Linked DNA regions of Arabidopsis thaliana. The protein of the gene in region 2 interacts with the protein of the main gene of each other region in a pairwise test. Each region holds a gene or a part of one and is shown on either strand. Other genes may lie near its edges. The genes, in order: AT5G66830 and AT1G53760.

The links.
Region 1: the proteins of AT1G53760 (region 2) and AT5G66830 interact in a protein complementation assay, tested with the Arabidopsis thaliana proteins (one large-scale study listed by BioGRID).

What each region holds. Positions count from the first base shown.
Region 1 is NC_003076.8:26,689,333-26,693,193, reverse strand, and holds AT5G66830 (F-box protein (DUF295)), read right to left. Parts: upstream 1,942-3,861; 5' UTR 1,891-1,941; coding exon 706-1,890; 3' UTR 505-705; downstream 1-504. Other genes in the region: AT5G66840 (SAP domain-containing protein), read left to right, coding at 1-272; AT5G66820 (uncharacterized protein), read right to left, coding at 2,084-3,575.
Region 2 is NC_003070.9:20,069,408-20,073,331, forward strand, and holds the start of AT1G53760 (K+-H+ exchange-like protein), read right to left. Parts: upstream 1,765-3,924; 5' UTR 1,512-1,764; coding exon 1,317-1,511; intron 1,001-1,316; coding exon 936-1,000; intron 832-935; coding exon 733-831; intron 596-732; coding exon 548-595; intron 431-547; coding exon 361-430; intron 260-360; coding exon 188-259; intron 108-187; coding exon 1-107. Other genes in the region: AT1G53770 (O-fucosyltransferase family protein), read right to left, coding at 2,053-2,229, 2,312-2,622, 2,888-2,915, 3,012-3,924.

The DNA.
Region 1 (3,861 bases), on a different chromosome or scaffold from region 2:
CTCATCAGAGGAGACCATACCAGAACCCCCATGTCAGCTCGAACAGTGGCTACAACCTGGGAGTGAGGGACTTGGAACACTTCTCGCATATGATGATAAGCCACAGAAGAGAAGGAGACACATACAGGCAGAGTGAGGTCACTCAAGGGCCATACATGAACCATCAGACCTACCATTCCAACTTCAATAGTAGCTACAACCATGGGGCAAGGGACTTGTACATGGTAAACAACAGAAGAGAAGGAGACAATCACAGACCAAATTATCGATAACACACCGTACCTCGTGAGTAATATCTTTCATCATCATACAAACTTGGTACTTGTCTCTTTTGCAAGTAAACTTACTTCAACACAATTTCCAGGTTCTAAGGCCATAGGAAAGCGTCCTGATCATCGGTTCTCAACCCTTGTCTGTGATTCGTAAGAAAGTTTTCTAGGCTCATGATTCTCTTGATCATCCGTTTCTCTTTTTTTTTTTTTTTTTTTTTTTTTTTTTTTTTTTACGGGTGTGATTTTTTGCCTTCACTCTCATCTTGAGGGTCCGAGACCGTCCTCAAAAGTTATTACCTTGTAATCAAGGATGGTGTTCTTGGCTTAATTATTACTCTATATGGCAAGTATCGTTTGTTGGCTTTATTCTTTATTACTAAATGTTGCAATACTTGATATGAAGAATACGTAGATACATTAAAAAAAAGACAAATTACTGAAGGAAGTATGATTCTCGTTTGAAACATGGCAAGAACCATCGGGCTCTAGAGCGGGGAAAGGAAGAGGAAACAGATCGGTGCGGTTGTTCAACGGTGTTGGAATCGAGGTCGAATATGAAGATTTCGTTTTCGTCATATTGATCTTTAAAATAAGGAGTAGGATTGGAGAAGTAGATGGAATTGGCCTTGATCCCTTGCATGTCCTTGGCGAGCACTGTGATACCCAAATCCAAAAGAATTGTCTCGTCTCCCAGAGAAACAGTTTTCTCCCACTTGTTGTTGTTCCCTTCCATCTTGTAGATTTCAAAGCTCCATATCTTGGACAGACTCGGACGATGGCACTTAACAATTAAGACATGTCCGGCTAGAGTGACTACCATATCATCCTTGAAGTGATTCAACTGGTCCTTCATTGGAATTCCAGGAAGTCTCATTCTCATGGAAATACATAGTGGATTATTTAACAACTTACTTACGCTAGTTTTGAAAACTTTGACCGGAATATCTCCAGAGAAATCGAAGACCTTGAGTTTATAATTGCTCAGACAGTAAAGTTTGTGATCCTTAAAAACCATGCTAAAACACTCTTCGATACCTGACAAGGTTGGGATTTGTTTCCACGAGGAATCTCCTTTCTTGAAAGAAATGGCTAATTCTTCATGAGCCATTCCAATAACTAGGTGATCTTTGCTTTTCTCATCGGTCCATAATATCGGACATGTGAGTCCAAACTCTGGTTGGAGAATCGGTAGATTGATTCTCTCGCGGGTTAGAAGATCAAGAATATAGAGATTATTACATTGATGGTCTAAGTCTTCTTCCATGTATTCTGATTCAGGTTGCATCAAAAGCCAGCTTCCATAACTGGCGATACAAGAGCTCTTTGCGAAATCGTTGCCGAGATTTGGAGTTTTGTACATCTTGTCTTCCTCTTCAGGATTGAACAAGAGACAGTGATTGTTGTCCTTGGGGAATCGAATCATCCAAGGGATTTGATTGTTTGGCTGAGAATTTCTCGAAACTGAAAGCCAAGATGAACAAACGGATTTTGCACGTTGGAAATCGGCAAAACCAAGGCGGTCAAATACAAATTGCATGAGATCTGAAGGAAGCTTCGACCAGCACCAATCGAGATTTCTTCTCTGATCCGGTGGACCAGGGAGTAGCGGAGAGGCCATAGGACGGAATCTTAACCAAGCCCTTCAAGTTTATAAAGACGTCGAAACTTGTCTACGTGACATTCATTATTTAGGTTTGACGTTGCTTGTGTTTATATCTCACTAATGGAATGGCTTGGTGGCTGCTCAGAAAGCCCATTGGGCCTTGCATTATTATATAAAATATTTTTGTTTTTCATTCTTTATTTCTTTGTTAGCCCCATTGGTTACAGAAACTTACAAACCTGGTGTGAGAGTCTGCTAACAAGTTCTGAGGACCCTTAACAAAGAAACTCTCACACTCCTCTCCATCAAAACCTGAGCTTTTACCTTCTCTCACTTCCTTTAACTTATCCATCAAATTAAGCCCTGTCAAGTGATCTCCCCAGATATCATAGTACCTATACTCTTTCGCTTTCTCTTCTTTCACTTCGGTTCTTGATTTCGCTCCAGGTGCTCTCACATTTGGAGCCAGTGAGCTTCGTTGTATGATCATTGACTTAACCCCTGAAACCGGAAACGTTGCTGAGTGCGATAGGACCGGTTTAGTAGGAGGCTTTACTAGCTTCGTTGCGGCTTGAGTAGTAGGTGGTTCTGGTGATATTGGAGACCTAGGAGTTGAGTTTCCGCTGTAACTGCTTGAAACATCTGTGCACTCTGGTGTTAATCCGTTGATTCCTCCTTTCTTCTTTTTCTTGTTACGGCGCCTCTTCTTGTCTTTCGCTGTCTTTACAGTGAGATTCACAGCTTCTGATGCTTCTTCTTCGTGTGAAGAAGCAACTGGCTTAACGCTGCTGCTGTTCTTGGGAACCTCATCGAACACTTGCAGGCTTTCTTTGCTTATGGATCTTAGCAGAGAATCCATTTCAGGGGATATTGTGATCGTAGATGGTTTCTCAACTTCTCTCGACTCCATGTGGTTGCTATTGTTTCTCTTGTTGTTCTCCTCGATGAAGTGATCATTGAAGCAAAATATCAGAATGAGTAGAGCTGCAGCAATAAGAACCGCAATTGCGAATTTCTTCGTCCGCACCCAAAAGACCGGTTTTTTGTAGAGACTAAGCATCAAAACAGGTGCGGTCGCCTTCATAGGTACTGCAAAAACAGCAACTCCAGATGCCCAAGAGAGTTCACTCTGGTAGAAAAAGAGAAACTTTATGGAATCCCCTGGTTCTAATGAAAATCCTTCACATGGATGGTTCACCATAAAACCATTTCCTCCACATTGTTTTCCTGAAACCGTAATACTTAACTCCCTTGTGGTCTTCTTAGTATAGAGCTCTTTGGACATAGGCTCGTAACAAGTGTCTCCAATGTGAAAGAATCCAGTAAATGGCTGAAACTCTATGATGTGGACAGGCTTCAGAGATAGCCACACAACACCAGATAGATTTTTTCTGATCAGAGCAGAGCTACTCCGTGATTCTTTGGGACAAGCCAACACAAATGGATCAGACCGATTCTCTGATCCTAAAGCTGAAAGGAAACAAAACAGCTGTGAACTAGGACAAACATTCTGGTCAGATTTCTGGATTGCTACACTCCCAGAATCTTCACCATTAATAAAGCCCTGAAACTCCATAGCAGCAGAACCAGTGTTGTAACCATATTCAGCTAAGTTATGCAATGTATTGACTGATGAAAGCAATAGACATGAGAGAAGGAGAAGACAATGAAACGCCTTTGATGAACCAAATGCTCCTCCTCTGTTAACACATAAACACAAACACATAAGAGAGGTTTAACAAACAATGAAATTAATTTGGGGATTCACCAACTACTTAAAAAGCTATAAACATTCTAGGAAACAAAAAAAATCACCCAAAAATGAAAAAGGGTTAAAACAAAATGAAAATTTGAATAGTACCCAAAAGAGAGAATGTCATTTGAAGAAATCAGAAGCAAGAAATAGTTCTATAAACAGAAAAAAGACAAAGAGGAAGGAACTATTCCTATTGATAGCGAAAGGCGAAACTTGAATTAAAACTGTTC
Region 2 (3,924 bases):
TGTTCCGGCTTGGTGTTGCTGTTCTTGCTTTCATCTGCATCATCAGTTGAGTCTGGTTTATCAGGATTTGCCTCGTTTGAGATGAGCTTAAGCAGCTTCTCACTTCCCTGAAGTGTCAATAAAGATGATTTCGGGTTTATATAAACCTCTAGATAATGGAAGTATGTATCGAGAAGTTATGACAGACCTGAAGAGCCCGCCAGTGAGAATATGTGCGGAATAAGACCCAGAAGAATGGTATGTTTGGTAATGGCAATACCTAATTGGAAAGAACAAAAGGGTTTGGTGGTTATGAGATTCGATGAAAATAAACGAGTTAGTTGCTAAGGTTCTTGAGGGCTAGCTTCATACTATACATACCATAAATGCACTGGTCAATGGAAGCAAAGTAACTGAACCAACTAGGTACTTCTTGTGCAGGATTGTTCCACTGCAAATCCAATTAGAAAACATAAGTGTTAGAAGGAACAGGGATTCTGAATCTATTACACGTGAAATCGGATATAAAGTTTCATCATTTGAGACAACGGGTAGCAAAGTGATTTACCTCATGGCAATGTGCCGTAGTCTCCTGCGTACGAGTCTAGGATCTAAACTGAAAACATTTGACATGGATTAGCTAAAACGATAACCAATCCAAATTCACCAGAATATATACTCATGAAGACATTCATAAGAGAGATACTTATCCTCAAGTTTACAGAATTTCAAGAAAAGGAGAGTAAATAGAACCTCGGAGGATAAGTGACTTGTACAGAAGTGACCTCCTTAGATATAGACTTCAAGAAAATCTCAGAAGGCTTAACACGAGCCAGAAGCTTCAATCCAAACCTATACATTCCAACCACAACTTGACATTAATAAGCCTATCAACAAACAAAGACCAAAGCCTCAAGAAATGTCTCAAAATACAAAAAGGTAGAGATTTTACAAACCCATGAATCTTGTTCTTTATTGATCCATCAGGCGCTTTCTCAAGACCCACCCAAGCTTTATTCATCTAACCATTACAACAACAACAACAACATTTCTTCAAACTTAGTATTGGAGAAATCAAGGAGGAAGACTGATTAAAAAAAGCCATTCTTTTATCTCATTTCTAGTGGTCCTAAATGAGGTTCGTTGTCAAAAACCTTTAATCAGAAACAGAACCAAAAGCTTATTCATTGGTCGAAATGTTATACACCCAATAAATCTCACTAGACGCCACATAAACACACGGGTATGAATTCTATAAAGAGAAAAAAGTTTCAGACGCCACATAGAGACACGGGTATGAATTCTATAGAGAGAACAAAATTTCAATGTAATTTTACCTTGTCAGAGATGAAATCGACGAGAAGCTCTGCGTTGGCATTGATGGGTTTCGATTCAGATGATATCTTCTTCCATAAACCTCGTACAGTGGTCGGAGTAACACCAGACGGTGATTGAGCAGCGAAAGGGTCAACAGATCTGCTGAAACACCATTTCTTCCCTTTGATCGGAAAAACCACCAATCTCGCTCTCATGATCACTTAACTACGAAAAAGCTCCGATCTTTAGTTATGAAATGTCAATTTGTCATCTGGGTATTGCTTTAAACGACGTGGGTTTCGTATATTCAAAGGAAAAATCGAAACTTTAAGGTAACGAGACCGACAAAGCCTAAAATATTTCACGAGGAAAGACGAAAAGAAGCGGCGGCGCGTCTCTTGGCATATATGGACAAGTTTTTATATATAAGGGTCTTTGAAATCGACTTAAAATTTTGGTATAACAAAGGTTGTCTCTTTAAAAGGCAGTAATGACAAATGGTGTACTATTTGCAATCATGTCAAATGGTTAATGACAGATTAGAAGGCAGTAATAACAAATGGTTAGTACTATTTGCTATAACTGAAGCAATGATAAACTGACACATCACTAATCTCAGATTATATTAGAAGAAACTGTAGCATGGCTTTTACTGTATGATATACACTAGTAAACTATGCACATAAAGAAGAAGACAATTAGGCTGTTTTGTGATGAGAACTCACAAGACAGAGACTAATTTACGTGTTAATCTTTTTATTCATGATCTGCTATAAAATTAGGCTGCTCGTTTGCGCAGAGATACTCATCGCATTCTGAAGCGGTTCCCCAATCTTTTCTGAGTCTTAAGATATCCTCTGTAAAAGTTGAGCCCGAGGCACCAATGAACACGCTTGACAATGCGCATATCGTCTTATCCAACATTGCTTCCACCTTTAAAATAAGATAATGCCATGTATCATTTTGTTGGCATATGTATCAATTCATTCAATACGAAGGAGGAAAGAAAACACACCTGTGAGTCGCCCTCGAGACCATGTCTGTATAACAATGCATCCCATTTCTCAGCTGAATCACGAGCTGGTCGTTTCACAAGGGGGACAGTCTTTCCATTCAGTATCAACAGTGATTGTAGCAGACCAGTTTCGCTTTCGGCTGCATCAGTAGAAAGGTATAAAACCGGTGCCTCGACCTTCTCAATCAGACGAGTGATGCAGCTAGCAGCTTGAGGAATGGGGAAAAAGCAACTTGGATTCTTGGCATTACTGGCACACCAAGAAAATTTCTTAGCTAAGGTTCCTGATTTAATCTTCGTAATGAAATGAACTGAGCTACACCAAAAGCTACTATGAAAATTAAAAACAATCCATCTTACACACCATATAGAAAAGAAGCAATTACACACCATATTCTTCGTACAAGTGATATAAACTCATAATGCTCATACTTATTCATAAATGATAACTTGGTCAATGGAATTCGCCTAAGCTAGTTAGATGTGCAACTCCAATTATCTATTCACAAAAGTACAGCCGCAATTCTAAATGGTTACTATACCAATACTGCTATTATCTGATCAAGATTAAGATACCTACATTGTCATCAAATGTAGAGTGTAGCTATGCGCAAAGTTCTTTACCATTATACAAGAGAACTTAGAAGAGTGAAGGTCAAGCATAAAATTCTCACTTTCAGTTACCATCTACGGCTACTACCAGAGAAGTAGAAAATAGATCATACCAAAACTTCAAGAATCCATGCCTGCGGAAATGAAGAGCAATGTAGTTCTTGCCAAGGAAAGTCTGGATAAATCTCTGTGCAGTGAGTAAAATAAGCCGGTTTGGTTCAATCAAAGTTCTGCACTTGTGAGCAACAGGACCACCAGGCTGCATCACCCACTCTCTCTCAACATTAGCATAGAACACATCCCCAATCGCAATAACATCGTCATCTGATCTAAAATTAGCCTCCACTTCCTCAGCTGTCTTGTTGCTTGGCCTCGCAATATCTTCTTCCCATGGTGTGTCTAGCTTCCCTCCAACAGTGATCCCCAAAGCTTTCAACTTTGTAATATGCTCTTTATCTACATAACACGGTTCCGGTTTCGAGAAGTAACATATGAATCTATTAATATGAACATGATGATGCTTCTTCCTATTCTTATCCTTCTTCCAAAACTCCTCAAAAGAAACCACAACAGTCCTTCCCAAACAAGTATTGATTCGATCAATATCGATGATTCTACTGTAATGATAATCAAATCTATGACTAGGGATCACAAGAACACGTTTCAGCAATGCTGCAAAGAACATATGCTTCTCCAAGCAAATCAAGTGGTTACTCATTTGACCAGACAAACAAATGGCGAATAGAAACTTATCCGGCCTCGGCTTCCATTGAATCGTCTTCCTCCCATTCAACTTCTGATCCACTTTCCGGCAACTTCCGCCGGCGAAGTAACCATCTGATGATCCACCGATATCAACATTTCCAGTTTTATGCGGCGATAGTAATGCATTTTGGATCTGTCTATTCAACGAAATCTGCCGGAAAACTGCAGATTTCACGTCGTCGATCGTTGATAAATTTGATACAGTGTGGTTCCAGATAGAGAAGAGATCGCTCTCT